Linked DNA regions of Nothobranchius furzeri. The protein of the gene in region 3 purifies or fractionates together with the protein of the main gene of each other region. This does not show direct contact. Links are inferred from orthologs where the notes say so. Each region holds a gene or a part of one and is shown on either strand. Other genes may lie near its edges. The genes, in order: cbx3a, setdb1b, histone-lysine N-methyltransferase SUV39H1 and ehmt1b.

Evidence for each region.
Region 1: the proteins of histone-lysine N-methyltransferase SUV39H1 (region 3) and cbx3a purify together in Homo sapiens (affinity purification with mass spectrometry; 3 studies listed by BioGRID and IntAct, with this or other methods). This does not show direct contact. The link is inferred for Nothobranchius furzeri from reciprocal best matches to the Homo sapiens genes SUV39H1 and CBX3.
Region 2: the proteins of histone-lysine N-methyltransferase SUV39H1 (region 3) and setdb1b purify together in Homo sapiens (affinity purification with mass spectrometry; 3 studies listed by BioGRID and IntAct, counting the BioPlex papers as one, with this or other methods). This does not show direct contact. The link is inferred for Nothobranchius furzeri from reciprocal best matches to the Homo sapiens genes SUV39H1 and SETDB1.
Region 4: the proteins of histone-lysine N-methyltransferase SUV39H1 (region 3) and ehmt1b purify together in Homo sapiens (co-immunoprecipitation; 3 studies listed by BioGRID and IntAct, with this or other methods). This does not show direct contact. The link is inferred for Nothobranchius furzeri from reciprocal best matches to the Homo sapiens genes SUV39H1 and EHMT1.

The regions. Positions count from the first base shown.
Region 1 is NC_091751.1:29,399,799-29,407,751, forward strand, and holds cbx3a (chromobox protein homolog 3a), read left to right. Parts: upstream 1-3,267; 5' UTR 3,268-3,416; intron 3,417-3,429; exon of another isoform or gene 3,430-3,747; intron 3,748-3,930; 5' UTR 3,931-3,934; coding exon 3,935-4,077; intron 4,078-4,226; coding exon 4,227-4,383; intron 4,384-4,486; coding exon 4,487-4,581; intron 4,582-4,828; coding exon 4,829-4,955; 3' UTR 4,956-5,316; downstream 5,317-7,953. Other genes in the region: nfe2l3 (nuclear factor erythroid 2-related factor 3), read left to right, coding at 63-808.
Region 2 is NC_091745.1:76,217,173-76,225,448, reverse strand, and holds the start of setdb1b (histone-lysine N-methyltransferase SETDB1-B), read right to left. Parts: upstream 4,648-8,276; 5' UTR 4,547-4,647; coding exon 4,527-4,546; intron 3,691-4,526; coding exon 3,487-3,690; intron 3,414-3,486; coding exon 3,250-3,413; intron 3,169-3,249; coding exon 3,131-3,168; intron 1,766-3,130; coding exon 1,669-1,765; intron 1,593-1,668; coding exon 1,422-1,592; intron 1,317-1,421; coding exon 1,115-1,316; intron 1,038-1,114; coding exon 964-1,037; intron 862-963; coding exon 671-861; intron 1-670. UniProt on the Homo sapiens protein: Histone methyltransferase that specifically trimethylates 'Lys-9' of histone H3. H3 'Lys-9' trimethylation represents a specific tag for epigenetic transcriptional repression by recruiting HP1 (CBX1, CBX3 and/or CBX5) proteins to methylated histones.
Region 3 is NC_091755.1:42,379,812-42,387,297, forward strand, and holds part of histone-lysine N-methyltransferase SUV39H1, read left to right. Parts: intron 1-3,330; coding exon 3,331-3,987; intron 3,988-7,448; coding exon 7,449-7,486. UniProt on the Homo sapiens protein: Histone methyltransferase that specifically trimethylates 'Lys-9' of histone H3 using monomethylated H3 'Lys-9' as substrate. Also weakly methylates histone H1 (in vitro).
Region 4 is NC_091746.1:74,039,338-74,047,601, forward strand, and holds the start of ehmt1b (histone-lysine N-methyltransferase EHMT1), read left to right. Parts: upstream 1-3,755; 5' UTR 3,756-3,837; coding exon 3,838-3,858; intron 3,859-3,864; exon of another isoform or gene 3,865-4,142; coding exon of another isoform or gene 4,143-4,145; intron 4,146-8,264. UniProt on the Homo sapiens protein: Histone methyltransferase that specifically mono- and dimethylates 'Lys-9' of histone H3 (H3K9me1 and H3K9me2, respectively) in euchromatin.

The DNA.
Region 1 (7,953 bases), on a different chromosome or scaffold from region 3:
ATCATATTCCTGTTGTCAGAATGTTTGTGATGAACGCTGTCGTTTACGTCTCGTTCCTTCAGGCTCATCTGAGATGTCTTCATCAAGCAGCTCGTACTGCGAGGACGAAGGTGGAGCTACAGGCTACAGCAGTGAGGTGCATCCGTTACCCCCAAAGGGTGTAATGAACCACGCCACCATGCGGTCGCCTGTGGATCTGAGTGAGAACGTGTGGCACGATCACAGCTACTCGTCTCCTGCTTTCCTCAACAAGGCGTCTTTAAAACTGCCCCACAAAACAGAGCCTTTTGGCGACGACGAAGAGCGGGATCTGAGTCGTGATGAGCTGCGAGCCCGTGCCCTGTGCATCCCGTTCTCTGTCCTGCAGATTGTCAACATGCCTGTGGAGGAGTTCATGGAGGTTCTGGACAGCCACGGACTCTCCCCTGAGCAGGTGACTCTGCTGAGGGACATCCGCCGGCGGGGGAAGAACAAACTGGCAGCTCAGAACTGCCGCAAAAGGAAATTAGATGCCATCACCGGTCTTCAGGAGGAGGTGGACATGTTGCAGGCTCGGAGGGAACGACTGCTGAGAGAGAAACAGCTTACAGCTAAGACCATGGGGGCTGTGGGCCAACAGATAAAGCAGTTGACCAGAGATGTTCTGGCTCGGCTCAGGGATGGGTCAGGACAGCCCCTGAGCCCAGACAGATTTACCCTGCAGTGTGGCGCTAACGGGAGGTTTGTGGTTCAGCCCATCAGACGTCCAGCCGTCTCCACATCAGCAGGCAACAAAACAAACAAGAGGAAAAAAGGGAAGAAGCAGTGATGTTTCGTTTCCTGCTGAGACTTGAGCTTTTAGAGGCTTTTTTTGATATTCCCGAACTTGACTGACTCTGGGTTTGGGGTTCTTTTTTTGTAGGTGGTGTGTGTGTGTGTGTGTGTGTGTGTGCGTGCGTGCGTGCGTGCGTGCGTGTGTGTGCGTGCGTGCGTGTGTGTGTGTGCGTGCGTGCGTGCGTGTGTGTGTGCGTGCGTGTTTATTCACCACTGCCATAAGCCTTCACTATCAGAAGCTGCAAAAACAAAACAACACTCTGAACACAAATGAATAATTCGATAGAATATCTGTAAATATTGAGACATTAGTAGTGGGCACACTGGACTTTGTGTTTATTAAAGCTGGCAGCAGAACCAGCCCCTCTCTGGGCCGGGCCTGATAACGTAAAACTATCACCTTTACTGGGTATGGGTCCGAGGGGTTTTGTGTGTAAATTTGCCTTTTTAAGTCTTTTGAGGAGAACTAGGAAGTTGAAGATTATATTTATTCTGGTTTGAAAGGTTTTTGAAGTGTTTTCATTTTGACGAAGACTGTTTCCTTCTCTTTTTTTTTCAAAATGGAAAAGTAAAATTTAAGTAAATCTAATGTTTACAGGGGCGTTTAAGGTAACTGTGTGTAATGTTATTTATTTAGGCTAAAACTGGAAAAAATAATAAAGATTTGTCTTTCTCATAGTTGCCAGGGGTGACATGCCAAATACCAATGATTACAATGAAGAGGCTTTATTTTGTAACGTTGTATTTGGTTCGAAAATAATCCACACACGAATGCTTTAAGACACTATTGATGCAGATTTTAATAACAAATAGATGGTTTTGACTTAAATCCTTCATAGTTCGAGTTTCAGCATGCTATGCTCAGAAATCAGTTTTTGATGATGTTCAGCTAAAAATGAACCAAAGCGGTGGTCCCAGCTTTGTTGAATGTTGTTTTATATGCAGCGTGCTTCTGTAAGGTTTGCTGAGTTAAATAGAACAATTCTAAAACGGTCTCACGCAACTTCTTTTGTTTGATTTCCAGTTTACAGGGATGACTTTCTGTGATTTTTGGCTCCAGTTTCATCTAAAATGGATTTTCTTTCTCAGTGAGATTGTGTGAGGTATTCTAATCAGTTTTTTTCTTGTTTATAATTGTTTTATAATCTCTTTACTCCTAAAATACACCCAAAATGATACATAAGGTTGTATCTATGTTACAAAGACCCATTCTGGAAAACATAATTTCTCACTTTTCCCATAAAGATGCTTCTAAATGGCACAAAAAGGCAAACTTTACTCATCTGCTGACCCTTTTGTGCTTTACTTAAGTCAGCTGATCTGACATGAATCCCCTCACATCTACTAAAGCACAACCTCACCTAAAAATAACTTTAGAACAGAAGAAATCCCCTGTCATGCAAAATATGTTATCCACTCGCTACACAAACAAGAATGATTGTTGTCTGTTTATATGTTTGGGATTATTAGAGAATGCAATATGACAGGCTGAGTGTTTGATTACACTAGGGCAGGGGTGTCCAATCCTGGTCCTCGAGGGCCGTTATCCAGCACGTTTTTCGTTTTAACCTGCTTCAGCACACCTGATTTCAATCAGCAGGTGATTAACAGGCTTCTGCAGAGCCTGATGAGCTGCTGCACAGGTGATTCAACCAGCTAATCAAGCATTTTGAAGCAGAAAAACCACAAAACCTGCTGGTTACTGGCTCTCCAGGACCAGGATTGGACTCCCCTGCACTAGGGAGTGTATAAACTTAATTGTGATCCAAAGATCATGTTTTCTCTTTGTCCTGGTTTAAACGTTTATTTGTGTGCATTTCACTTTCATACATCTTGTTTTTTCATGCATGAGTCACATTTGTCTGTCTGTTTGCGGTGATTATTGAAAAGATAAATCTGATTGAAGAATACTTGATTTCTTTATTAAAAACATTTAAATAATGTCTTGTTTTGTCTGGCTAACAGGTTATATATACCATTACTGTTATGGTGCTGCGTGCTGGTGAGCATATCAACATTATTTTCCTCACCTGAGCTGAACACCTGTGTTGACCGGCATCATTTCAGGACAGAAGGCAGACAGATTTATTAAAATATGGCTGTAAAGCATATTTAACAAATACTCGTTCAAAATCACAAGCCAGTCATTTACGGTATTCAGTAGAAAGTAAAAGAAATTGTTTCACTCAGTCTGAGAACAATCTAAACAACTTGAGACATCAGGTGCTCAATTTAATCTGAATTCAGCATTAGCATTATGACTTTGGGGTCAATTTGTTAAATTTTTCATTTTTGAACAATCTGAAAAAGAAAATGATTGCTAGTGTTTATGCTTTATTCCTTCCACTACTTTATAGTTTAAAACATATATAAACGTTTTCATTTACTACCAACGTGTCTCAGATTGCGTTAACTAGCGGCTTGAAGCCTTGGTTCATGAAAAGGGCCCTTCTGGAACACATGGGTCAGCTCGGCTGCAGACGAATCGCTTTTCCTTCTGGGCTTCCGTAGCCACAACTAGTTTTTGGCGCCGCCTTCGTTGTGGGATCGACTTCATCCGAGCGGCGTGGTGCTGAACAACTATAGAAATCCGCGCGCTTTGGGTGAGTGTGCGGAGTTCTTCTCTTTTAAAACAATGTTGAGTATTTCTTTAATTACATCAGGCTACTCTGAGCGTGTTAAAACGCCACCTATACGTTGCTGGTTTTTTGACAAACAGCAGTTTAGTTGTTGACCCAGCAGCGTTAGCATCGCCATTGTTTAGCTATTACTGTAATATGTTAAGCTAGCTGAAAGTAAGGCAAGTAAGGTGTTGTTTTGTGGGGATGTGTTGTAGTTTTACCACAGTTTTTATTTTATCTTTTACAATTCTACTAATTCTGTTGCTCAAATAAAATCCGCAGATGAGACTGTTTAAAATCAAGGAAATTTTAGGTAAGGGGTCAGCGTGTTAGCAACCTTTGTTACGTTTAGCTGCTAAATGCTGAGCTAACTAGCAGGTGGGCCAAATTAGAGTAATGTCCTATGTTAGCGTTGGCTGAGTTATTTGTAGCCTAGCATCCGGGTGGATTTAAGGCCTTCCGAATAAATGCGGCTCGTCTTTTTATCTTTAAAAAGCAAAATGGGCAAGAAACAGAATACAAAGCCTAAGAAGGAGACCGAGACCCAGGAGGAGCCTGAAGAATTTGTTGTGGAGAAAGTGTTGGACCAGCGGATCGTCAACGGGAAAGTAGAGTTCTACCTGAAGTGGAAAGGCTTCACAGAGTGAGTTACCCGGGACAATGTCCTGCTCTCTCCGCCTCTAACGCACCGTGGCTGCATGAAGCCTCCCAGCTTTTCCCTTTTAACACGTTTGGGATGTTTTTGGTTTGAACGCTAACCTGTTTTTTTTTTTTTTTTTTTTGCTCCCTCAGAGCGGACAACACCTGGGAACCCGAGGATAACCTGGACTGCCCCGAGCTCATTCAGGCCTTTCTGGATTCCCAGAAGAATATAAAGGAGAAGCCGGCTGCAGTGAAGAGGAAGGCCTCCACAGATGATGCAGAAGAGGAACCCAAGAAGAAAGATGTGGTTAGATTATACGTTTTTTATGTCTCTGACCTGCTAGCATGATTCCCTGTAGGTTGTGCAATCAGAATATGGTTTATAACCTGTTTTTGTTTTTATTTGACAGCCTGATAAGCCTCGCGGCTTTGCCAGGAACCTGGAGCCAGAGCGAATCATTGGTGCCACAGACAGCAGCGGGGAGCTGATGTTCTTGATGAAGTGGTGAGTTAGGCAGACTTTACACCCAATTTCAACAAGAGTAGTTTCACATTTACCTCGGTTGCTTTGCATGGCCATTAGTGTTTTTTTAGGGAGTCGAACTAAAAGCGGAAAAGGTTTATTACAAACATGTAGAGTATTTAGAAATAAAATCACTTGAATATATATAATTTATTTCTTTGATTTTTAAATAGGCTTTTCTAAGATCTGCTGTTTTATTTTAGTTTTTATTTATTTTTTTGTCCCCCAGGAAAGAGTCAGATGAAGCAGACTTGGTCCCTGCTCGTGAGGCCAACACGCGCTGCCCTCAGGTGGTCATATCCTTCTATGAGGAGCGGCTGACGTGGCATTCCTGTCCAGAGGATGAGGCTCAGTAGCCTTTGCCTGGATTCTGCACACCTTTATGTTTTAGGTTTTTATTGTGTTCTCTGTTCTGCTTTTTTTTTTCTTCTTTAGCTACTTTAGCTGATTTGAGACAAAATCATTTGTATGGCAGTTGGGGTATTGTAGATTAAAAGTTTGTCAAAGCAGGTGACTGGGTTGGATATAAGATTAGTCAAAAAGCGATAATGTCAGTCCACATTCCAATTTGTTTATTTTTTTTACTTGAGTCTATGTCAACCTTTTTGAGTTCAGTTAAATGTTTTGTTCCTTGATGCAAGTGCCGACGTGTTTGAAATGAACGCTTTGTTTACAGTTTGTAAATATAAAGTTCAAATAAAGGTTTTATGTGGCCTAGTTTTACCCTCTTCATTTGTAGTTTAGGACAAATGCATACAGAAAAAAGAAAACCTAAATGTTGCTTTATTAAAAGTGTCACAGCCAGCTGAGTGGTTCTGTCAGGGTATCAATCCTTGGCCTACATCAGAATGTTATTTTGGCAGCAGCATTCTGATCTCCTTAGAGGAACAGTGGTGAGATATTTATCCAAGGAGGACCATGAATGTCCACACCTGTCTGGAGCTCTATCAGCTGCTCATTCTGTTCTGCACTTGGTGTAAATGAGGCTTCAGTCTGCTGGTTCTCAGTAATGGATAATGGTTGGTTTCTTCTATAACCACTTGTAAAGACACATTATGGAGTTTATTTTAAAAGTAACTGGTCACATGTTAACAGCTATTTGCCTGTCGGAGATGTTAAACTTCCAAAAAAGCCTGGAACAGCTGGCAGGAAGTGTTGATGAATGGAAACATTTAAAGGAGACTAAAATCAGTCCAACCATAGTTTTACCTGTCATTTGATCATTGCATCTCACCTAATGATGCTCACACTAAAAAGGTAGAGATCGAAGACTTGGCTTTATCACCTGTAGTAGACTCATGGATGGTGACGTAACCTAAAACTTCATATTTATGTCCAACCGTGTGGTGATTGGTAATTCAAATCTGAATTCAGGTGTCTATATTGGTGGTTTTTATTGAACGAATGGGGGATAAAGTTGCATTGACGTTTCTGACTAAACAACATCCAGTTTCACCCCTCTGGCCTTTACCTACTGATAAAGTAACACAAGATAGGAGACGTCAGCGTAAAGGAGCAGTTATTAGCTGATTTACTTAAAATCTCATCACACCACTTGTGTTCAGATGGGCTCCTGGGCTGGACAGAAATAAACTTTGCTTAGGTAAGATGACTTTCACTTGTTTGTATCTGGGGTCCAGGCTGCAGCATGTTGTTTACAGGAATTTATCATTAATGGCTGACGTCTTGTACAAGCTGAGATCAGAAAATTAAAGTTTCTTTGATTTGACTAACAACAAAAACTTCTGTGTTAAAATGATCAATATTTTCTGTGCTGACGCTGGATGTAAAGATCCCCTTTTAACTAGTGTTCTCTATAAGATTCCACATAAACCCTCATGCTTGGCTCAGGATAAGATAAGAACAACTTTATTTATCCCGAGGGAAATTCTTGTGTCATGTACATGCTCAAAGCAGTCGGAGACAAAGGAACAGGTGAAACAGAAATATGATATACAATATATACATTAAAAAAATGATCTACAGTAGTACCATGTAGGATAGTGCAAAACAAACAATCGCATATCTCAATTAAATACATGACTGCATCCTTGTGAATAAGCAATTAAGCCGTTGGTGCAGGCGATTCACAAAAGTGATTATTGTGATCCTCCCATAAAACAACTTTATTAATTACCATTTTAAATTCTAATGAGGTTGTGTGTGTGTGTGTGTGTGTATATATATATATATACATACATATATCATCATTGTCGTCTTCCTCCGCTCATCCGGGTCGCGGGGACAGCATCCCAACTAGGGAGTTCCAGACTGTCCTCTCCCCAGCCACCTCCACCAGCTCCTCCGGCAGGACCCCAAGGCGTTCCCGGACCAGATTGGAGATGTAACCTCTCCAACGTGTCCTGGGTCAACCCGGGGGCCTCCTGCCGGCAGGACATGCCCGAAACACCTCCCCAGGGAGGCGTCCAGGAGGCATCCTGACCAGATGCCCAAACCACCTCAACTGACTCCTTTCGATCCGGAGGAGCAGCGGTTCTACTCCGAGTCCCTCCCAAATGTCCGAGCTCCTCACCCTATCTCTAAGGCTGAGCCCGGCCACCCTACAGAGGAAACTCATTTCGGCCGCTTGTATCCGCGATCTCGTTCTTTCGGTCATTACCCAAAGCTCATGACCATAGATGAGGACTGGGACGTAGATCAACCGGTAAATCGAGAGACTGGCTTTCTGGCTCAGCTCCCTCTTCACCATGACAAACCGGCTCAGCGTCCGCATCACTGCAGACGCCGAACCAATCCGCCTGTTGATCTCCAAATCCCTCCTACCCTCACTCGTGAATAAGACCCCGAGATTCTTAAACTCCTCCACTTGAGGTAGAACCTCTCCCGACCCGGAGTTGGCAAGCCACCCTTTCCCGGTCGAGAACCAGGTCTCAGATTTGGAGGTGCTGATCCTCATCCCAGCCGCTTCACACTCAGCCGCGAACCTACCCAGCAAGAGCTGAAGGTCAGAGCTGGATGAAGCTAGGAGGACCACATCATCCGCAAAAAGCAGAGACGAGATTCTCCTGCCACCAAGCTCGACACACTCCACACCACGGCTGCGCCTAGAAATTCTGTCCATAAAGGTAATGAACAGAACCGTTAACAAAGGGCAGCCCTGGCGGAGTCCAACCCTCACCGGGAACAGGTCTGACTTACTACCGGCTATGCGGACCAAACTCACGCTCCTCTGGTAAAGGGACTGAATGGCCCTTAACAACAGGCCACCCACCCCATACTCCTGGAGCGTCCCCCACTGGGTGCCTCTGGGGACACGGTCATAAGCCTTCTCCAAATCCACAAAACACATGTGGATTGGTTGGGCAAACTCCCGTGCCCCCTCCATCACCCTTG
Region 2 (8,276 bases), on a different chromosome or scaffold from region 3:
ATTAAGGAGGTCACTGTGCTCTTAGAGCCTTTAAGTGCAGCAGAGATGTTTTTGGAACCATGGGCAGATCTGTGCCTTGCCACAATTCTGTCTCTGAGCTCTTCAGGCAGTTCCTCTGACTTCACGATTCTCATTGGCTCTGACACGCATTGTGAGCTGTGAGGTCTTTTAGAGACAGGTGTGTGGAGTTCCTAATCAGGTCCAATCAGTAGAATCAAACACAGCTGGACTCCAATGAAGGTGTAGGACCATCTCAAGGATGATCAGAAGAAATGGAAGCAGTTAAATATACGAGTGTCACAGCAAAGGGTCTGAATACGTAGGACCATGTGATATTTCAGCTTGTCTTTTTTAATAAATCTGCCAATATGGGGTGCTGTGTGTACATTAATGAGGAAACAATTAATTTATTTTATTTCAGCAAACGGCTGCATTATAACAAAGAGTCAAATATTAACAGGAGTACCTTTGAATTGAATTGAATACTTTCCATACCGACTGTATGTACTCAGTAGTATCTCAGGTAAACGTGCAGCGCTTTATTCCACAGGTTTGAATGTTTTAGAGTGAAACTACAATAGTAATTAAAATTTTGACCTAAAAAAAATGACTTTTAAACAAACATTTTGTATTATTTTATGTAGCCGGTTTAAATTTGTTGTTCACGTACCAAAAAGAGAATTTTGACCAAGCTGCCGTCCACTTCCTCCACTTTGCTCTTCCACCAAGTCCCCTCCCACTCGGTCTTGATGATCTGGCCGACCTTTAGGAGCACCATCGGCCTGCTGGGGTAGGCAGAAATGTACTCCTCGATGAAGTCTCGACACGACGCGTCCTCTATGTCTTCCCAAGTACGCTTCACTATAAAACAATATCAGTTATCTTGATTAATATTTTCTCTACACGTTGCTGCACCTTTGGAAACCATGAAAAAAGAAAGAAAGGAGAAAAATGGGCTCCTACGCGGTTTGCACACTGGGTAGACTTCAGGCAGTATCACATATGAAGCATAGCCGTCGTCGAAGAAAATCAAATACCTGAAACGGCAAAGCGGGTCATTAATGAGCTCAGGCCTTCAGAAAGCTGCCAAACCTGCAGGCTTTCATTGACTTACCTCATGCGGTTTTTGTTGTTGGGCATCTCTGCCACGATTCCCGCGTAGAGCCACGTCAGGCTTCCGTCTTTGTACCTGGCGACGACACGAGCCCCGACAAACAGGTCCTCCATAGCCGGGTTGTCGTCAAAAGCCACGTGATTCCCGGACAGCAAACTCTTGCCTTTATCAAACCTCACTTTGTATTTATAAACACCGTTTCCTGAACGTTAAAGGAGAAAATGTGTGATTTAAAAGAAAAAACACTGATTCCTTAGCGTCATCTTTAAAAAAAGCATTTGTAAAACACACGAAGACGACGACGAACCAATAGGGTTGATAGCCACGAGGGTTCCTTTGTGCCATGTCTTGGTGCGTTTCTTTCCCAGGATGTTCATCCCGATCCGGAGATCAAATTTTTTCAAGCTCGAGCTCGGCGGGGTCGTCCCTTGAGACGAAGCTTGCGATACAAATATTGTCGGTGCTGAAACCTGGATGACTGAAATTCCCACCAAAGAGCATCAATAACGCTTCACACGAGTCCGATTAATAAACAGACTCTTATATTTGCTCACGTGACTGAGGAGCTCCTGGTGAAGGTTTGCCCACCATTTGGGTCAACTTCTGCACCTGCTGGGAGGTTTTCTGGAGAACTGCAGAAGCTTCTTTTAACTGGTGATAAAAACAGGCGACAGAAGAGGTTGTTGAGGAGAATTACGAGTTTTACATCAAATACAGGCCTTTTTTTCTTTATGTAACCTAAAAAAATAACTATGTTTTGGCTGAATTTAAAGAAATGATTTCCCATTTAATATTTTTCACCGAGGATTGTGGTTCACTTGTTGAATCAATACATTTGCAGTGGTCTCTAGTAGAAATTAATGCCTTTAAGTTGTACTCTGGAGAAAAAAAAGCTCTGATGCACCTGTTCCAGGAAGTACGAGTCATCTGGAGTTGCTTCAGACGACAGGATTGGAAGTCTTATTTCCTGATATTCAGACATCTCTCCTCTGATTGGATAACAGCAACACAGCTCTACCGCTGACTCTGCCCTGCATAGTTGATGTTTTATCTCCACAAATAACACAAGCCTGGAGGAGTCCTGCTGTGTGGTGGAGTATCTAACGCTAACAGTTAGCTTCTACTAGCCGAGACGTTCTCTGCTGTTACCTGGACGCTAAACCAACAACAGCCTTCCCCGTTGTGAGCCAAGATGGGTGAGTCCATGAATGTTCAGTGACAGTGTGACGTAGATCTGTCAGGATTTTCTATTTTCTATCAGAGACTAAAGCAGGAGATAAGTGTAGGAGACTGTTTTCATGTTCGGACGGCATGAAGAACTCTGAGTGACCCATTATAACCTAGAGGATAAAGTATACTTTATCCTTTACATTTGATGTCCCATGGGCTGTCGGAGCACCTGATGTCCTCTGGACGATGCCAGCGTGCTCTTCTATGACCCATTATAATCATTAACTCATTCACTGCCATTGAGGACTAAAGTCGTCATTTGCATTTTGTTACTGTGTGGGTGTCGGACGAGCCCCCGCACGGTGAGAACAAACAGCCGATCTTCATCCGCGTACGTCACAGGTCACGTGATCAGGAAGCAGAACGTCATGTGTTAGGAGATCGTTTTGGGCCGTTGCTGTAAAAAAAAGTGAGGCGCGAACCGGAAAAGCTTCTGCCGATCACACTTCAACAACGGATTATGAAAGAACGGATAACGCTCGAAACGCGCGGATTCTTCCTGATGTAAAAGGTGAGTCTCCATTTTGTTTTGGTTGTTTCGGCGTCGACATCATCCTAGCATGCAACGTTCTGTCACTCTTAAAAAAAAACAGTAAAAACGGTGAGAAACGCTGGCAGCGAATGAGTTAAACAATATTTCTCAGTTCTCCACACCTTTAAAGCTGCCTGTTATGTGTCAACAGCACTTTTTGTCCCTGATGCTCATTAACAAAAACAACACTGTAGTAATTACATAGTAATTAGATATGAATATATTTTCAGAAACACTGTTTTTGTTGCTCTCACCACTGAGTCTTTGCCTGGAGATTTCGTTGGAGGAACCACTGATGGTGCAGAACAGAAGAAAAAGAGATGAACAACAGTCTCAGTGTTTTCATATCTTTTTACAAAACAGCACAACTTACAACATCCAACTGCAATGACATCGTCATCGTCATCATCATCTATCTCAATGACTTCAGAGCACAGTCCATCTCCACCCCCTTCATCCTCAGAGCTGCTCTCTCGGTAGACAAGACCGTTCAGCTGATAAGCCTCCTTTACCAGTTTCTCACACCTCTTTAAAGATCTAAAAAAAGGAGACAAGAAGATGAGCTCGTTATAGATAAGCACTAATAAAACAGACAACCATTCCACCTCACTGGTTTGTGTCTTTGAGAAGCATCTCCGTCTTTGCCTCCTCTTCCTCTTTCTGTTCCACCCACTGCTTCAGTTCTTTCAACTGAGCTTTTTTCTTCTGCACCATCTCACTCTGTTCCACAGCTTCTTCAACCAGCTTCTTCAGATCATCCAAGGAAACACCCAAATCGTCCTCCAGACTCGAGTCCCAGCCGTCCACCTCCATTCTGAGGAGGGAATGCAGAGAAACACATTTAAACAGCGCTACATTTTTAAAAACAAACTCAACCGTCTGCTTTACAACCATCAGCTTAAACTCCCACAGATGGCCAGAATGAAGCATGATAACATTTATTTACAGCTTGGTAGTGATTAATTAAGTTTAACGAAAAGAGTTATATTCTTTATATATATATATATATATATATATATATATATATATATATATATATATATATTAGCATTTTTGTGATTTTGATCAAGTTTTAAACCTCACTCTGTGTGAAAGACATTAATAATACCTAATAGTCACACTCCCTAAATAACAACGCATTACTGTTATAGACGTGTCTAGCATACGGGTCATCATCCTTTATGGTAAAAACAGGATAAAATACACTCAAGTTAATCTGATTTTTTAAAGATGCAGTGAATCCATAAAAGAAATTCCAGATGCATACCAGTTTATCTGAATAATACACATGTATAAGATAGTAGATCACTAGGGACATCAGGAGTAAACACAACTTTCCCACTTAGTTGTTGCAAAAAAGATGAACTTATGAGCTGAACTTGAGTAAATAATAAAAATGTTGCTCATTTGTTGTCGGAGAGTGATGTAAAGCCCTAATGTCTTCGTTTTACACGTTAGATTTGTGCAGCAACAACAAACCCTTGTTGAGACGCATGCTAACCGGTTAGCTTAGCATGGGAAAAGAACAATTCTGATTTGAATGAGAGGTGCAGGCTGCTGAAACAAATATGTTCATTGCACAATAGAGAATTGCATCAAAAACATTCGTAACCTATGAAACATGTTCTAATTAACGGGAAAGCCACCCACCGCTCGCTGATCTCCATCATCTCGGACGCAGATGTAAAACTAGCTTATTCCGCTAATGCTAAAGGGTAAGCTACAAAAGATGTTTCGATTCCCGGGGTGTCCGAAAAGGGCGGTGTAGTAGATCGCAGCATTGGAAAAAAAGTCCCGCCCACGCAGGATGTTATTGTGACTTAATAATTGAACCGAGCCAAACAATGACGAGTTCGTTTGGTTTTCAGATTTTTTTTAATGTTTAGGAATGTGAATAGTTTTACGTGGGGCAGTTTAAAAGTTATACAAGTATAACATATTGCAAATTGTTTGATTTACTTTTTCATTTTACCGAATAAACAAGTTTATCAAATTAAATCAGCTATTGTGGTCAAACATTTACTCTTTTGTTCTGTAACTAATTGCATTTCTTTTTATTTTCTTTGAATATTTTATGCATTAATTGTGAAATCCTAATACAGTAGTTTTCATTCTGTTTGAAACAAAATATGGACCTTTTTTATAAATCAGTGTCTATCTACGTCTGTGTGAGTTAATTAGCTGTAGTTGGGTATTTATTTGAACTAATAACTAATAGTTTTATATCTGGCATGTTTTATTACAAACCACACATTTGTTCTGGTAAAATTTAGTACCTAAATATCTTAATTTTATATTATCTGGCCTTTTTAAGGTTCCATTTATTTAATTTAAAACAAGGGAGCTATGTTTATTTGCCAGCAGAGGGCGCAAAGTTCCCGTTCTTGCAAGGAACCAAAAAGAACTTCAGAGGAAGTGTTTCAATTAAGGAACTCTTTCAACTTTAGAAATCCAGTTCCTTATTCTCCTTCTACTCCTCGGTCTCTTCTTCAATACTACAATTTCCAAGAGAACAAAAAAAAGGATTAAGTTTTTTTAAGGCTCCATCAAACCAAGGAGGCTAAAATATTCTCTTCTAAAAGGCAAAGAACACAAGCGCAGTTACAGCTTTCATACACTGGAGGGCAGCAACTCCCCATCTTCACGTACATCCATTTTCTGAACCCGCTTGTCCGCGCGCGCGTGTGTGTGTGTGTGTGTGTGGGGGGGGGGGGGGTGCTGTCTCCAGCGGTCAATGGGCAATCGGGGGGTGCACCCTGGACAGAGAGCCAGTCCATCGCAGGGCAACCGAGGGCAACACAGAGACACACAGGACAAGCAATCTTGCACACACACGCGCACTCACCCTGTGCAGCCCCTCCCCATCTTTCCTTCTATTCTAAATGCTGTTGGACAAAAGTGTTCTATTTTTTGCCAGGAGAGGTCGCCAATTCCCAGTTCTTTCAAGGCAACAGAACACGGTTTTTGGAATCGTTGAAGTAAATATTTCTAAGGAACTTTTTTGACTTTATAAATTCAGTTCCTTCTACTCCGTCTACCCCCCCCCCCCCCTTTAATATTAATATTCCCAAGAGGAGAGAAAAAAGATTAAGATTTTTTAAATGCCCCGTTAAGATAAGGAGGCCAAAACATTATCTTCTAAAAGGCTAAAAAGAATACAAGTGCAGTAACAGCTTTCAGACACTGGAGGGCAGCAACTCACCATATTCCCTTCATTATGTATGAAAACAGTGTTGTTCTATATTTAGCCAAAGGAAGACGCAAATTCCCAGTTTTTTAGAGGCAACAATACACGTTTGGAAGTAGTTAGCGGAGTTTCTATTGAAAAGGACCAAACAGTAAAAGTGCAAAAATAAATCTCAAACTTTAGGGGTGCTGCCGTGCTGGGATTTAATTTTAGGAGTGCTTCAGCATCCCCAAAAGCAGTCTAGAAAGGCCTATGCTTCGCAGGCTCTCACATCACAACTCCAAATGTCCAAAATTATGAGCTGATTTTCGCTGCAAGATGGATTCTCGCGAGATTTGGAGTTTTCCAAACTCAGAAGAATCCTGAAATGCGTAGACTCGACACGGATTTTGGCCCCCATACCGCACCATAGTACATAGAGATCAGGCTGTTGCTGTGTTACACATGAGCGAGAAGGGGGAATATACGCCCTCCTGTGGACAAAAGCCAGAATTGTCAAACCATTTGGAGGATATGTTACCCTCTTCATCTCTAAACTGGAAAAAAAAATCCTAATTTGTTTTGTCCTCCAGTACGGCTTACCAAGACGCAAACATTTCCTGGATTGTTTTGGTCAACAAGGTGGAAGCACGATAACCCAGTCCTTCATTATTATTCACGAGAGGACAAAAAATATTTAGATTTTTTTTCCAGCTTCACTGAGACTGCAGAAAGAGAGGATAAGGACGGTAAAACGTCCTCTAAATGGTAACAGAACCAGTTTAGTTTAAGCTTTTAGCACATGAGGGCCGCAGTTCCCGCCTGTCGCTCATATAAGGTCAATTTAAAACTCAACCTGTGGCGCTGTAGCTTCTGTGTACAGTAGCGACGCGATGTGTAGCTCAAACGGATGAGCACTTTGTGACGTGAGCGCTGTGCATGTCTCACATCCACACTGGAGGCTTTAGCGGTGCGTATATATATGGAAGGCCAAAGGTGACAAAACTTCACCCATACAAAACATGCGTTCTGTCCAGAGACTAGAAAGAGACTGATTTGACTGATAACTTCACCTACTAAACCTAAAATTGTTTTTGTGCCAAGCTGTAAACATGTTTATTTCTATTGTGAATTTAGCATTTCTAACAATGAGAGTTTGCTCTGTTTCGTACCCAACCCCAGTGGATGAGGGGAAATCGGCAGGTTTTTGTCACTTCCTGGAGTTTCAGGAAGTATAGTCAGAGGTTCTTCCTTGGTTCAGTCCACAAGGACACGTGTAATGGCCAACAAGATGCACGTCATGACCACAAGACAGTGTCTCAGGCAGTCATTGTGTTTGTAGGTCTAATGAAGAAAGCATCTTACCTTTTACTGCTTTACCATGTCCTGACCGTGGTTCGATTCCTTGTCCCAGAAGTGATTTATTTGATTTTAGCTACAATTCTTGACATTATTACGTTTTTAACCCTCAACTCATTCACTGCCATTGACGACTAAAGTCGTGATTTTAGATCCAACCGTGCACTGCCAATGACGACTAAAGTCGTCATTTGCATGTTTTTACTGAGTGGGCGTTGGATCGAGCCCCGCCCCGAGAGAACAAACATCTCAGCTCTGAAGCCGATCTTCATCCGCATACGTCACGTGATCAGGAAGCAGAAAAACCATGTGTTAGATCGTTTTGGGCCGCTGCTGTAAAAAAAGTGAGGCGCAAACCAGAAAAGCTTCTGCCGATCACAATTCAACAACGGATTATGAAAGAACGGATAACGCTCGAAATGCACGTATTCTTCCGATGTAAGTCTACTCTTTGTTTTGGTAGTTTGGGCGTCGACATCATCCTAGCGTGCAACATTCTGACTCTTAAAAAAATACACAGTAAAAATGGTGAGAAACGCCGGCAGCGAAGGCCTTTAGCGGCCAGGAAACGGCTGGCAGCGAATGAGTTAACGGTGAAACTTAAAAATATCATGGCACATTTTTATTTGTTTTACTTTATTTTGTAAGCTGAAGCAGCTTTTATTTTTGTTATGTATTTTAGTTTTACTGATTAATTTCTGCAAAAACAGTCTCTCTCTAAAGATCTTTGAATTTGGTCATTTCCAAGAAGCATTTAGTTGAAATGCTCTGGGTGTGACACACATCCCAATGACTTGCTTAACTCGTCGGTCATTACGCCCGTCCTAGTGGACAAGACACATATTTTACTGGAGAGCTTTTGTTCTCCCATAAGA
Region 3 (7,486 bases):
GTCTGGTAGCAACACGTCGGACCCAAAAACATGCTAAAAATAGCAGTTTTTACACAACACGTCAGACTTTTTTGTCTTGTTTTGCCTGTTGTCCTTCTGGAGTGCTGCAGGAGGACACACAGGGATTTATGGGGGTTGGATGAGGAAAACGAAATAAAGAAAGTAAATCTGTGTTTTGTGATCAGTTTAATTTGACATGAACACGACAAACACGCTTTCTTGACAATCTTTGTGAGAAAAAACTCGCACTGTCGGAAAAGACGAGGACGCTGTTAAAAATGCTGATATGCCATGTTGTAAACAGTAATTTCTACTTCTACTATGGTGTAGTGTTGGATGCATGCTGTAGAGCTCCATGCTGCCCCCTATAGTTTGGGAGAATATTGGCTCACCGCAGAGACAAGCCGCATGAACCATAAACGCTGTGAGTTGTGAAGCGCGTTCCATCCGCGAGCCGCATCACCGCGCGGAAAGTGAACGCGTCAAGCATAAACCAAGCTTAACCTGTTGCTGGTCTCGTTTCATTTTATTGCACAGCTTTATTTCCGTTTATCCATGCTCAGCACTTTGTTAAACTCATTTTGTTAACTATCAAGTCTAAAATGCTCCAATGCAGTGGATTTTCCTAACCGCTTCATTTATAAGTACATTTTGTTATCATGTGATGAGCTAGCTCTTCCTCTGTGGTTTTGACAGTGGCACTCTTGCACCCTCTGGTGGCACAAAATATATCCATGACTGAAAGAAAAAAAACTATTTTACCTGGTTACAACATCAATGGCAAATAACTGGTTAACTATAAACATCCCTAACCTTTAACTTTGATTACATCACACATTTGCTGTGGCATTGTTTCAATAAGCTTCTGCAATGTCACAATATTTATTTCCATCCAGTGTTGTGTTAAGGGCCAGCAGTCCTCTCTTTCGTGTGTGTGCGTGAGTTAGCATATGCTTGGGATGGGATTGAGGGTGGGAGGAGGGGGATACAAAGGGGATCTCGTATGTGAATCTGGGAGAAGTGGAAAACCGACTGCTGTCTGTTTTTAATATTGTAAAGCGCTTTGAGCTGCATCTGTGTGAAAAGCGCTTCATGAATAAATTTGATTTGATTTAAAGTTTCACCAAGATTTTGCATTGATGACGGTAGAGTCTGACCACTGCACAACGCCTTCTCCAGCACGTACTAAATATTCTCAGTGGGGTTAAGGGCTGGACTCTGGTGGCCAGTCCATGTATGAAAATTATGTATCATGCTCCCCAAAACACTCTTTCACTATTTGAGCTTAATGAATCCTGTCATTGTCATCTATGAATTTGCCTGTACCAATTAGAAAAAAGTCTATTGATGGAATAACCTGCTCATTCATATTCAGGTATATTTAGTTAGGATTATTTTTAAAACGATTATTCTGACGATTATTTTATCGAATAGTCGACTATTCTAATGACTATTTAGACGATTAATCTAATGATTATTTTTCTATTGCACAATTAACAAAAACCAGAAAATCTCAAAGAAATTCCTCAAAAAAATTAATAAATTGTTACTGTAAGAGAATAAAAACTACAGGCCTTCCATTTTGTACAACACTTCTTTTATTGTGTTGCAGTTGGTTATGTTCTGGTGACGTGTAGAACTTGGGAGTGCAGGCTGCTGCCTGAGAGGTGGTAGAAGATGGAGTGTCTCCATGCTGCTTTGTTTTGGTCACTTATGAGCGTGAGGCGAGTGGTGTTACGACTCTTCCTGGAGAGTTTGGCTCGTGTGCAAAAGGAAGGGACAATAACGGGATTTAAAAGTTAAAATGATGATCAGGTTTATTTACAACTACAAAAAACATAAATCTTTCCATCCACAATTTGGGAATAATAAAACAAATTCTGCCCGTGGAGCATTAAAACAAAGTACAAATAAGTAGGGATGTCCCACTGGGCAAAGATTATTGGGTTCTGGACCAAAATAAGGATCTCCAAAGGTCCAAACTCTAAACTGGGCGGTTAAACCAAACTCACGGTGATATTTTACACTAAACTTAAAACGAACAACACTCTAAATGTAATAAAAGGGAGATCTGCACCACAAAAAAGATGAACTCTAAACCAAAACGTAACAGCTTATCCAAACGCAAGAAGCTGTTGGTGAAAATGCTAACAGTAGCTTTACCAACGTTAAGTTCAAGTTACCAAGTTTAAATAAACCAGAAACACCCAGCAGCAAACAGACCAGCACGGAGGAGAGACTGCTACCACCAAAACAGCTCTCCTCATGTCTGAAAGAAGCTCCTTAATGAAGGGAGAAACGCTCCCGGTGATTTTCTACATCTGCTTTAGAGACGGAGCAGCACATCTGACCCCGGAAGTTGTCCGTTGCCGGGAGACGAAGGCGGGCAAAACAGGAAAGGAATCTAGTAGCGGACGGACGTTGTTCCGGGTCTTCGGTATTTGGCGGAGATGTTAAAGGCAGAGACGAGGGCGAGCTAGAGGAAAAACTGGCAGATTCCTCCTCCATTTACAAACTCCTGGGGATGCAACAAGTGGGCGCGGTGCGTCGACTACCGGATCTGACGTCGACACATTTTTAGAATTGAGTCATAAATGTCATCGACGCTTCGCTACAGCTCTAATATTTAGGTAGTCCGCTTCTTTGAGCACATCCTGTTGCTGCACCTAGACCTGACCAACTGCAGCAACACCAAATCATAGCACTGCCCCCACAGGCTTGTACAGTAGGCATGATGGGTGCATCGCTTCATATGCCCTTCTTTTGATCCTCTGGAACAGGGTACATCTGGGCTCATCAGACTACACGACCTTCTTCCATTGCTCCAGAGTCCAATCTTTATGCTCCAAATCAATCTAAAGTTTTCTCCCCCAATTTGCTTCATTGATTAGTGGTTTTCTTACAGCTACACAGCTATTTAGTCCCAATCTCCTAAGTTCCCTTCATATTGTGCATGTGAAAATGCTCTTACTTTCACTATTAAACATAGCCCTGAGTTCTACTGTTGTATTTCTTTCAAATTATTTGACCTAGGCAACTGATTGCCAATCACATTCATTCAGTATTATTTTGGCCACATTTCTTCCTTGAAGACGATGAGTCCCCACTTTCAGTTTTTAATGTGTTGAACAGTCCTTAATGCAATTTTAGTTTTTTCTGCTATTTTCATTGATGTTTTCTCTGCTTGATGCATGCCAATGATTTGACCAGTGTAGTTTAACACTTGACTTCTTTTATCATCTTATCTTGTATGTCAGAGCTGCACAAGAATCTGAATTCTGTAAATTGAAATCTAATTGTTTTTACAAACTAAAGGTGTTGTCTTTTCAGGAGGAGCTCTATTTGGTGAAGTGGAAAGGCTTTCCTGAATCCGATAATAGCTGGGAACCCAAGAGGAACCTCAAATGTCCGGAACTGATGAAAGTGTTCCACCTGGACCTAGATCAGATGCTAAAACGGCAAAAGAGACGCGGCCTTCCCAAAAAGTTGGATAAGGAGGTTTCATTGTTCCTGGTTCAGAAAGCCAAACTACGCCAGAGACTGCAGAGATGGGAAGCCCATTTGAATCAGATTCGCAACCACCCAGGCCGTATTTTTGTCAAAAATGAAGTGGATTTAGAAGGTCCTCCTAAAACCTTTACTTACATTAACAACTACAAAGTTGGCCCAGGCATTGTGTTGGATGAGATGGCTGTGGGTTGTGAATGTAAGAATTGTTTCGAAGAGCCGGTGAATGGCTGCTGCCCTGGAGCCTCCTTGCATCGCATGGCCTACAATGACAAGGGTCAGGTCCGAATCCAGCCGGGAAAGCCCATATATGAATGTAATACCCAGTGCAACTGTGGGCAAGACTGTCCCAACAGAGTGGTGCAAAAGGGGATTCAGTTTGACTTATGCATCTTTAAGACGGACAACGGCCGTGGTTGGGGTGTCCGCACACTGCAGCACATCAAGAAGAACACATTTGTCATGGAGTACGTGGGAGAGGTAAGATCTAAACCAATCTTGTCAAAAATAAAATGTTAAAGTGCTGAACACTCATTTAATCAATTATTTTGCAGTAGTCTCTATAGTAGGAATAAATGCCTTGTAAGTAGGGTTGCAACAGTTGTAAACTTTGGTGGTACGGTTATAGTCCGAGAAATAATCGTGGTTTCACAATTACCACGACTATTTTACATGAATTGATTTCACATTTGTATTAACGTATATAAATCACAAACACATACCCTATAAAGTTTTAATAAATTGCATGATTACAGCCCATAAATCTATCTATTGCTCCTTTTCAGAGATTCTGCTTAGAAAAATTAATTTGTAAAATCAAAGTGATGTCTGTAATTTTTAAATTACAGTTTAAAAGTTAGAAAATTTGTTTAAAAGTGCTGAACACTTGTTTAATCAATACATTTGCAATGATCTTTAATAGGAATGAATAACTTATAGATAGTACTTTGAAAGAAAAAAACACACTAGTGCACCATTTTCAAGATTTTGAAGTGAGCCACATCCCAGCTAAGTTTCAGACAACACGATTTGGAGTCTTATTTCCTGATATTTGGACACCTCACATCGGACTGGATAATACGGATGTAAGAAACTATCGATGTGGCGTTATATCATGAATTTTTTTCTGCAATAATATATTGATATTCAAAAGCCGTATGTCAAATTTTTGGAAGAATTTACATGCAAACATTTCTGCAATTTCTTTTCTTTTGATGCAATTCATATGCCAACTGCTAATTGGCAGCAGTGTGCATTGGGCTTTGTTTGCATCATTAAAATGTAAATCCCTCTATTATGGTTCAGGTACTTCATGTTAAACATGTTAAGTATCAGTTAGGCCTGTATTGAATTTTCCTAAAATAAATTCAGTCTTAAAAAATCACTAACGTCTGACTGAATGTATAGCAATATATCATGATATAGTGTATTGTCTCCCCTGTATCGTGATACGTATCGTATCGCCATATTTTCACCAATATACATCCCTACTGGTTAACAGCAACACGACTACCACTGACTTGCACATTGATATTTTATCTCCACAAATAACACAAGCCTGGAAGAGTTCTGCTGTGTGGTGGAGTTGCTAATGCTAACGGTTAGCTTCTACTAGCAGAGATGTTCTCTGCGGTTTCCTGGCCACTAAACTAACAGCCTTCCCCGTCATGAATCGAGATGGATGAGTCCATGAATGTTAAGTGACAGTGTGACGTAGATCTGTAAGGATTTTCTAATCCCAGAGATTCACCATCTATTTTCTATCAGAAGCTAATGCAGGAGATAAGTGTAGGAGACCGTTTTCATGTTCAGCCTGCATGAAATGAATGACAGATTATATTCAGAAATCATCTTTAAAAATAGTTTTCCACACCTTTAATTATATTTGCATAATTGCCGCTTAGAGTTTCTATAAAAAGACAAAAAGGTTTACCTGTTGACAACTGGTCAGGGTTAACAATGAAGTATGGAAACACCTTCATAAAATAAGATGCTAAATTCCATCTAGTGCAGTTGTTATGTCTTGGTAAAGAAAAGCTGCTCACTAACACATGTAGACAGATTTCAGAACAGTATTTGAGAGTCGTGGGTATTTTGTGTATGAAGACAAATTTTCAGATGTTTGAGCTCAGCTCGTGAAAAATTGGGAACAAAAACAAAAGTGTTGCGTTTATATTTTTGTTCACTGTATGCAAGAGATAGGTAGGGGCACGATCCATATTTTTTCACCTTCTATCCAATTCCGATACCTGAATTTAGATATCTGCTGATACCAATTTTATTCTGATACAACAGTTCTATTTTCTTAAATATAATTATTATTTTAATCATTATGGTTGATTTTATGAGGCTATAATAAACTCTTCTCTACAATCATTCCAATTCTCGCGCTGCTCTGGGTGGCTGCATGTTGGAGTAGCTGTGTTAACTACTAGGGGTGTTTCAAACAGGGTACTTTTCGATTCGATTTTGATTATGGGAGCTTCGATTCTTCGATTATAATGATTTTTGGTTTGATTCGATTACTGGTGCCACGATTCTTCAATTATTGACATTTTTATTGCTTTTTTCATAAAAGATTGTCTTCTTCTTTATCTACATTTGTAAATAAATAACCTATCAATTAATTCAGTTCCTCTAAAACCACTCTCTGTAAATAAATACATTTTTTTAACATTTAACTATTTTTCAAAGACAAATTCTTATTTTATGACTTTGTGACGTGTAAATATTTGCACTTTGACCAACTTAACTTCAATCAGGGAAAGCTTTACTTACACTAGTGTCCTCTCCATTGTTGGGAAACACTGAAAACAGGCAAGCCCTGGATTTAATGAGGTAATTAATTCAAGTAAACAAGATTTTTACTTCCATCAAATTTATTTAATGGAAACTTAATGAGTCTGGCACATGATAACATTACAAAAAAGCTGCCATACAGATTAAATAGATAAATTCACCTTATTCAGTCTGGAATATAGGAAACAGAAAAAAACTGCTATATTTGAAGGTAAAATGTTGCATTTTTTCAGAACAAAAGTGCATAATTCAACTGAACATATATTCAGCCTGGAGCTTCAGTACAGTGAGGCGAACACAACAAAATAGAGCAGAGTGAGCAGAGTGACACATACTCATTTGTCCTCCCATACTCCCTCCCCTCCCTCTTGTCCCCCTACATCCTGTTGTGTGAGATGGGCAAATGTCAACATTGTGCTACTTTGACTCTCACTCATCTCTTGAGTTTGAAGAAGGTGACACACTAACTTCCACCTGTTCTTGTCCGACAAGAGAACAAAATGCGCCGTTACAGTAACGAAGGATTTGGTGGCAGCCGATGTCCGTCTGTCAGTATCTGCAAGCTTGGATCTGTATTGGGCATGCTTGAATAAATGAAATCTCAGCCTCATAAACTATGAGCAATTGGCCTTTTTACACAATAGGAATACGGAGTTGTTTTTGTGGTGATTTTGTTTCTTTTTCTTATTTATTTTTGTCCTGATTGTGCCCTGTGCAATTTTATGACAGAATAAATAAAATAAACGGATAAATAAAATTACATTAATTTTAAGATCGTCTTAAATTATCAAGATCTCAGTTTCAGTCAAAATAATTGTGATTATCATTTTTGCCATAATCGAGCAGCCCTACTTGAAATGCCTTCTTCCACCTTCACAATATTGAGTGTTTTAACCCAATTCACACCACACCACACAAGTCAAAAGCCTCTGGGTCATTCTCAACAACACCCTCTAATTTGCACCTCATATTTGTAATGTCACCCGAAATGCCTTCTTCCACCTTCGCAACTTTTCCCGAATTTGTTCATCATTGTCCTAGTCCAACACTGAAATCTAGATGATTTGAAAGAACTTTTCATAATCATGTGAATGATATTTTTTAGTAAATGAAGGTAAATAACACAATCTTGCTTTCCTCAGATCATTACAACTGATGAAGCGGAGAAGCGAGGCCATTT
Region 4 (8,264 bases), on a different chromosome or scaffold from region 3:
CTCATGATCTATTTCTTATTCACTTTCCCTTTCTTCACATTTTTTTAATCACATTTTTTTTACTTCTCCCAGTTGTGTGATGTTTAAAAATCATTTTTCAATCTTGTTATTTTTAATATTTTTTATTTTGTTCTTGTGAAGCCCCTGTGATTTTTATCTTGAGAGGTGTGTAACATTCTTAATTTACATTTAATAAAGGACCACAAGACATTAAAATTTCATATCTAGTATGAAATCCATCTTGCGGACCACTGGTTTATTTAATCAGAAGATTGGATCTTTTTAATGCAGGGATTTAGATGACACCTTGTATTAACTGAGAGACAAGAGAAGAGAGAGAGACCTTCAAATGTTTAAGATAGTTTGTAACTAAATAATTTTAAACAATTTAAACAAGACTAACTCTCTAATGGTGGATGTTCTGTTTGAATGAGGTGTGAGATGGATGGTGTGTGTGAACGAGTGTCATTCAGAACCCTCGTACCCGGAGAAACAAAGTCTGAGTGGGAGATGATGTTTGCTCCTAACTTATCAGAGTCTGAGACTGGTAGTCATAAACACATGAGACGCCATTTTGTCGCATCCACACATACCCTCAGGGAGACCTCCTGTACGGATCCAGAATGCCAGGTCCACGGACCTTCCTTCCGGTACTGGAGCCGATGGCACAGCGTCACAGCATGACAAACTAGTCCGTGGATTGTCCCCCGGTAAAAAGTGACAGGTGGTTCACAGCGTCAAAAGGGGGACCCTCCTTGGGTCAGCGAGTTCAGCTTTTATTCTGAAAGGCACCGTTGCTTGGTTGTAAAAACAACAAATTTTTCCCAGCTTGACGGTTCTCAGCTTAAAAAGAGAAGTACAGAATGGCCGGTCCGACACTTAGCTGCGGTGAACTCCGTGGGATCTTGAGAACTGGACTTAAGATGGCGTTGGAACTGTTTTATTAATCTGGATGTTTTTGATTCTGGACGAATCAAAGCCAGCAGATTTATAAACACCACAGAGACTCTGCCACACTTCAGACTAGGAAGGTTCTGATTGGATCAGCAACAGCAATGTGTCATGTGATTGTTTTCCTTACGTGTGTCAGTGTGTCTAGTGAACTAGATTAAGTCATTTTACTTATTAAAACATATTAATCATAATATTGTGATTTCACAGATCGGTCACATTGTATTATTGACTAACAGTTGTTTTGATTAGCTTTATTGAAAATAGAGTTCTTTGATTTAATAAAAGAAAAGAGTCTCTTCATCTTCTGTCTTCATTGCTGGAAAGTAAACAGTTTAGAAGCAATATGCATGACCTTGAGGCTGTTTCATGCACTCTGGCGCTGTGTCAAAGGGAACAGTAGATAGAGGATAAATAACCTTGGAGGAATAGCTCCTTCATCACGTTACATACCCCCCTTTTCAAGGGCACGGTGGTCCATTCAGAGACCACCTGGTCATTGAACAAACCAGAGTCATGAAGGACTCCGACAACAGAGCAGGGTGCAATCCCACAGGAAGAGGCCAACAGCGGTGAGGTACGAACCCCACACCGAAGAACAGTCTCGCATACTCCTCGGGAAGCACACAAGTCAGTAGATTATCAGAAATTTCCGTGGAAGCAATAATTTGAAGCAGCAGCAAACTTTATATCTCCACGGGTCTGGAATACTTCCAAACAGCATATTGATCTTTGTAATTGCACTTATCGTAATCCAGCACAGGAAAGAGCAGCAGGCAGGTCGTCCCAGCGAGCGAAGTATCCCCGCAGTCATGCCGGAACAAACGGATGTCCAGGTCCCACGAGCCGGAGCACCAATCAGGAGGAGTAGATTCGGATGACGAGTCACGGGTCCACCCCCAGGAAGCAGGATCATCGACAAACTCAGCAGAGGAGAGAGAGCACAGCACAGGGCACTTCAATGTAGACACAACAAAATGGCGTCTCATGCAAATTAACAAACAAAAATAAACCTAGCACTATGAGTACCTGCAAGTAATATGTGTAGGAATTATGTGAATGAACCTAAGCAACGAAATGGGTGCAAACTCTCTACATGTAATGCAAAAAGTGGTGCGAAAAAGAATAAAATTAATAGAACCCTATACTGCGTATGGGAGAACACACTGCACTACGTAAAGATATAATCAAACTGAAGGGCTAAAATGGCCCCTGATGGTAATTTTCTCTTCCAGCTGACTCTTGTCATCTAACAGTTTTGAAATCTCTGTCCGAGCTGCTGTCAGCTGGTCTTGGGTTTCGGTCAGTTGTTGCCGAGCATAATTTATTCCTTATTCACTTTCCCTTTCTTCACATTTTTTTCTAATCACAATTTTTTAAACTTCTCCCAGTTTTATGATATTTAAAAATCATTTTTCAATCTTGTTATTCTTAATATTTTTATTTTGTTCTTGTGAAGCCCCTGTGATTTTTATCTTGAGAGGTGTTATGTAAAAGATTGTTTCATCTTCTTCTTCTTCAACATACGCCCAAACACCAGGCACCATACACCTCATCACTGGTGGTGGTGGTGAGCTACGTTGTAGCCACAGCTGTCCTGGGGCACACTGCTAGGCTGCCGTCCACAGGCGCCACCTGCGCCTCCGACCACCACCAGCCGGCAAGGCGGGTATGTACCTTGCCTAAGGACACAACGACTGCTCGCTGTAGAAAATGCATTTTTTAAAACAATGTGCTCCTCTCACACATACGTTCTATTGCACTTGTTCTTCATCTAATGATCAACATTTATTATATATAATTTTAGTCATTTTGAGCAAAATTAAATCATACATCGAACTCACAAAGGTGCAGAGAAAAAAATTAAAGCAACAAACATACTAAAGTAAAAAAAATAGTAAAAATATAAAAATAAACAAAAATTGCATTGATATGTAAGACTTTTAATTTGTCTCAAAGTAACTCCGTAAACTGAGTCAGTTCAAAATGGGAATGTAGCACAGCTTATTTTACCTATCCTGAACTTAATGTACACATTTACAATCCTTGAGCACCACACCCCATGAGCACAACTTCAGTATACAACACACAACAGTTTTACATCATAAGAGTATAATAACATTAAAGCAACATCACGTGCACATGTCACTCTTCTTCTTGCCTGAATGTGGATGATCAGCATTAGATAAGCATAAAAAAGGACAACCATCATAATTAAAAAGGAAGGGCTTACTGATATTTGATTTTTAACAATTTTTTAACCTGCAAATTCTTACATTCATGTAAACAAAAATGTATAGAAAAATGGTTATTTGGAATAGGGTATAATCAACACAAATCAACAGGTAATTCACTACATGAAGACATTTTAGAAAACCTGTTCAGCTTTTTAAGCAGAGTAGTGAGTAGTGAGAATCGACCCAACTCAATTTATTATTTTTGAGGAATAACGTGTCAATAAATACATGAAATTTTATTTGAAGGACAGAAATTCAATGACTATTTAGACCTTTTTCCCGTGGATTTTTACACCCGATTTTTACCCCGGCCACTAAAAAGAAAAGAAAAAAGAAAAAGAAAAGAATGAGAACTCTTACTAAAAATTTCACTTTAAAAATTGTGACCTTTTTCCTAAGGATTTTTAAAGTTAGAATTCTGAGAAAAAAAGACAGAATCCTCTTTCTCTTTTTTTCTTTTCACTGGCCCTAATCTTTTTCCGTATTTACAGAAATAGTTGGGTTAGCTATCTTAAAAGGTTGTCACCACAACCATGATCAATAAAGATGCTCATTTATAACAAATAAAATCTCTAAGGTGTGGTGTTCCAGATTGCGGATCAATAAAAGTGACGCAACCGGGAGTGGGCGGAGCCAACGTCCAGGCACCATGGCTTCGGTGGAGACCGAGGTGAGTATGAGAGCTTTATCTTCGCCAAGCTTCTTCCCGTCTCACACGCTTTTCGGCGCTTCGGTACATTCGTTAGGCTCGCGCAGCCACGGGGCCGGTCTGTAAGCGGGTAAATTGTCGGTGTCGAGGTGCTTTTCAGGCGCCGAGTGGCCGCTGCCAGCGCCGAGACTTGTGCTTTTGTGCTGTACCGGAGGACAACTGAATGTGCAGGAAGATGCTGCGCCCCGGAACCTGAATGTTCGGTGCTTGTGCGTTGGTTGCTTCTCTGTGGGACTCTTTCATTCATGGTACATCTTTATGTCATTCTCCTAGCTGTGTCCAGCTTTAGCTGCTCGAAACGTGTTGCAGAAATTAAAGGTTGCATTCCCTCCCAGCATTATTCTGAGTTTTCAGCTGACCCGGTTGTTAGCGGCTAACTGGAGGCAAAATGTGAACGTTGTTCAGCTAGGTAGCGGCTATGCTAGCAGTAGTTAGCAGAATGCATACGTTTTAAACACACACACGGTGGAGGGATTTTCTTTTTATCCAGTTGAATTCTAGCAAATCGAGTTATTGTTAAATTTGTGTTACAGTGGGTCAAACGCGCGTTTGCGGTGTTATCTTGTGTGTGCTGCTCTGCAGTCTGCCTGCTAACCGACTAATGAAGGCGCCAGTTCTGAAACCGGTTGTTATTCTCTACTTCTTTACGTTAAACTTCTCTTCAGTCGTCCTCGCCACACGCTCGCGTGTTTGGGCTAAATGCGGTTATTGTCCTATTATTATTTTTGTCCAGAGTTAGCAACTCTAGTGTAGGCTGGTTCAGGTTCTGGATTAGATGGAAAAGGAAAGATCTGTCATCAAATATCGTTTAACTGACCCTATTTCTACACGAGGGCACACTGATGCTCCGTAGTTGACTACATTTTTATATTATTTTTAACCACAAAATTAAATAATGTAGGTGAAGATGTGAAGTGTTCAGCAGAGGTCGCTCCAGCAGCGTTAGAAGTGACTCACGGAGCTTTGCAGCTCCAGCATCTTTCATTTTGGGTCAACGTGTTGTCATTTAAACACGTTTCATCCCTGAATGGAAACAGTGACACACCAGACATTAGTACAGTATCATCTCTGTGTGCAGATAATGTTTTACTACAATGGAGGGCCACTTGAAAGGTGTAGTGAGTTTTCGATGGCCCTTCTTGTCCCCAAGAATTGGACTCAACATGGCAAAAATGAAACTGGAGAATATTAGTCACAAATCAAGCAGGAATCTCTGGGCAGGCATGTTCAAACTGCATCCCTCTGAGTGGTTTTGTGTGGCTCCGTGTTGCATTTCTATAAAAGGGGAAATTTTAGCTATCCAGCAGGCTGTTGATGTAGATCAACATGTTGTTTTTTGGGGTCAGAATTTCACTAATATGCAGCTTGCATGCATAAAATGCATATTTCTGGCCAGTGGGAGATAACTGGAGTACCTGGAGAAAATCCATTCATGCCTGGGCCCTCATTTTGCTTCAGTTGCCATGTTTATGACAAACGTGTCGTTGTGGTGTGTGACTTACGCCGCTCAGCGCTGATTGGCTCGGTTAGAATTGGCACGGGTTGGGGTTATTTGAATAGGAGAGTTCCCAGACCCTTTCTCTATGCAGAATTGAACAGAGGAGGAGTCTGGCAGGCCAGGCTAGATGATGGGGCTGTCACGTGTATTACGTTAAGTCACATTTTTACGTGACTCAAGGTGGTAGAGCTTCTTAAAGGGACATGAATGTTGCCAACCTACACATCTTTTCATTTTTATTATCAAATTTATTGACATGGGAAAAATTCTCGATAAAAGTCAGACATTTTGATAAAGATGAATTTTCGATTTATTGCACAGCCCTATATCAGAGCTATCCCACGTCAAGAATGGTCTTGTTAAATCTAAACAGGGGTCCAGTAAAATACTCGCAAAATATTAAGACCACAAGTCTTATGCCAACAATCCAACATGAATGTTGCCAACCTACACACATCTTTTCATTTATTATCAAATTTTTTGACATGGGAAAAATTATCTCTATAAAGTCAGACATTTTGATAACGATATATTTTCGATTTTATTGCCCAGCTCAAATTAATTAATTTATTTATTTCTGATAGGAACCTCTTCTCTGTCCTGACCGCATTTATAACCTCTGCAACTTATTTGGTTCTTCTGCGCTTTGGCAACCAGTGTCTTGATCTTGCTGCCAATAAAGTTTTTCTTATTTTTCTGGGAATAAAACAAATTCCCTCACGTGCTGAGGCTGTAGAGTGACCAAATATGGTTAATTGAGGGCGTTTCTGTATGTAAATTACTGTGAACAAGAGGTGGGATTTATCATCAGCCGGTTGCGAAGGAACATTCGTACGAGAGGCCACCGCCTAGTCAGGTTTGTACACACATTCTAAATGTTTTTCTTAGGAAAAGTTAAAGGACAGTTCTACATACGTTTGATAAATGAGGGCCCTGGGGAGTACATGCCAATGCCATTCAGAAAGTCTGCAGCCAGTTTTTGAACCTGCAACTGTGCTACCAACTGCGCCACCATTCACCCATATTTAAGTGTTTTACGTGGATGCCACCTCCCCTTATACCCATTAGACCTATCCTGCTCTCTCAAACATGTCTTACAGGGCAGCTGATGCTGCCAACACTGAGCGATTAGCCGTATTTAGTTCAACTTTGTGCTCTCAATTATTAAGGTTTCCAGCTGCAGCAAAAAGTCCGAGCCATAAGTCGGAGTCCTACATGCATTTTTAACTAACGTAGCAAAATTAAATTCCTAAATCAGTTTGTGAGGAGGAATGTAGAAACACTAGCTTTCTTCAGATCTGACCATTATTGATGCACAGACTACAGAAGCTGGTCACGGCTATTCGCTCAGGGGTTTAATCTAAAATAATAATCTACATATTGCAACTATCAATTCATCTGGAACCACCACTGGTCCTTCTGGATTCCTGCACGGCCGACAGTGTTAGTGCCAGTAATTAAAAAATAGGACATTTGAGAAAGCTACGACACTCAGAAGTCGGATCGAAAAGATGATCCACATATTCCCACAGTAGATCCTCCTGAGACCGGTAGAACGTCCGTGCCTTTCTGGATTATTGCCAAAATTAACGGGAGGATCTAACAAGCGGGATGTAGCATCAGCCAGTCAGGAGAAGTTATTTTGGTAAGCTATCGATTAATTATTTCCAGCGTTGGATCAGTATTTACACAGCGGTAAAACTGGCAGCTCATTGATTTATTTTTCTGTAGATTATTGAATTATATTGGCACAGCCTGAAGAGGCTAGCATAGTTAGCTGCTATGTTAACCCATCAGCCAGCTCAGAGATAAAACGCACACACAATAAAACTAACGGTACCAACTTTGGTTATGAAGACTTGTCATCCTTCAAAACTGAAAAAAAAAAACATATTTACATTAACAAAGACAGACCAAACAATTCAGATTAATTAAGAAAGGGAGGAATAAAAAAGGGCACACAACATTACTAGTTACAAGACTGGCATGAGGCAGTTGAGAGTTGTCAAAGGTCCAGGTCAGGTAGGTCATCAACACGAGCTCTTAAAGGGTCCCATGTTTCGTGGAACTTGTCGATGGAGCCATTGAAGGTACATCTGATTTTTTTTCCGGTTTAACGTTTTGCATAACGTCTCTGATCCAGTGGTGTTGTGACAGAGGGATAGAATCCTTCCATTTTTTTTATACTTTTAAAATAATTTTTAAAATTTTTATTTTGTTCTTGTGAAGCGCCTTCTGATTTTTATTATGAGAGGCGTCCTATAAAAGAATAGTTTATTTTTTATTATTGTTGTGTAACGTGAACAAACTGCAACCCAGTTAACAGTTGGATCAAAAACAGTAAAAGTCTAAAAACAACGTGTCACATGGAACCCTTGTGCCGTGTTTCCGCTACCTGAGTAGGAAAGATTGTGACTGGTGGAGTGCTGCGTGTAGTGTGTCAAGCCCACAAACCGTCTAAATATCTCCTGTGCAAATACATCAGCCATGGTCATTTTTTGGACTGCCAAATATTAAAGATTTATCATATTACCCTAAATACAATACATAACAAAATATATTAGGGCCGTTTGATTATGGCAGAAGTGGTGATCATCATTATTTTGATTGAAATTGAGGTCTGAATTATTCAAGGCAGCTTTATTTGTATAGCACATTTCATACATGGAGGCAATTCAATGTGCTTTCCAGGAGCTAGAACAGCAAAATCAATGTAACAGCATAATAAAAAACACAGATTTAGGTCAAATTTAATTTGCAAATTATATTCAGATTTAAGAATCAGATAAAAGGCGAAGTTAATAGGTGAGCAGTTACAGTGCAGAAGGTTCAACATAAGAAATGTTCATTCGAAGGCTGATGAATACAT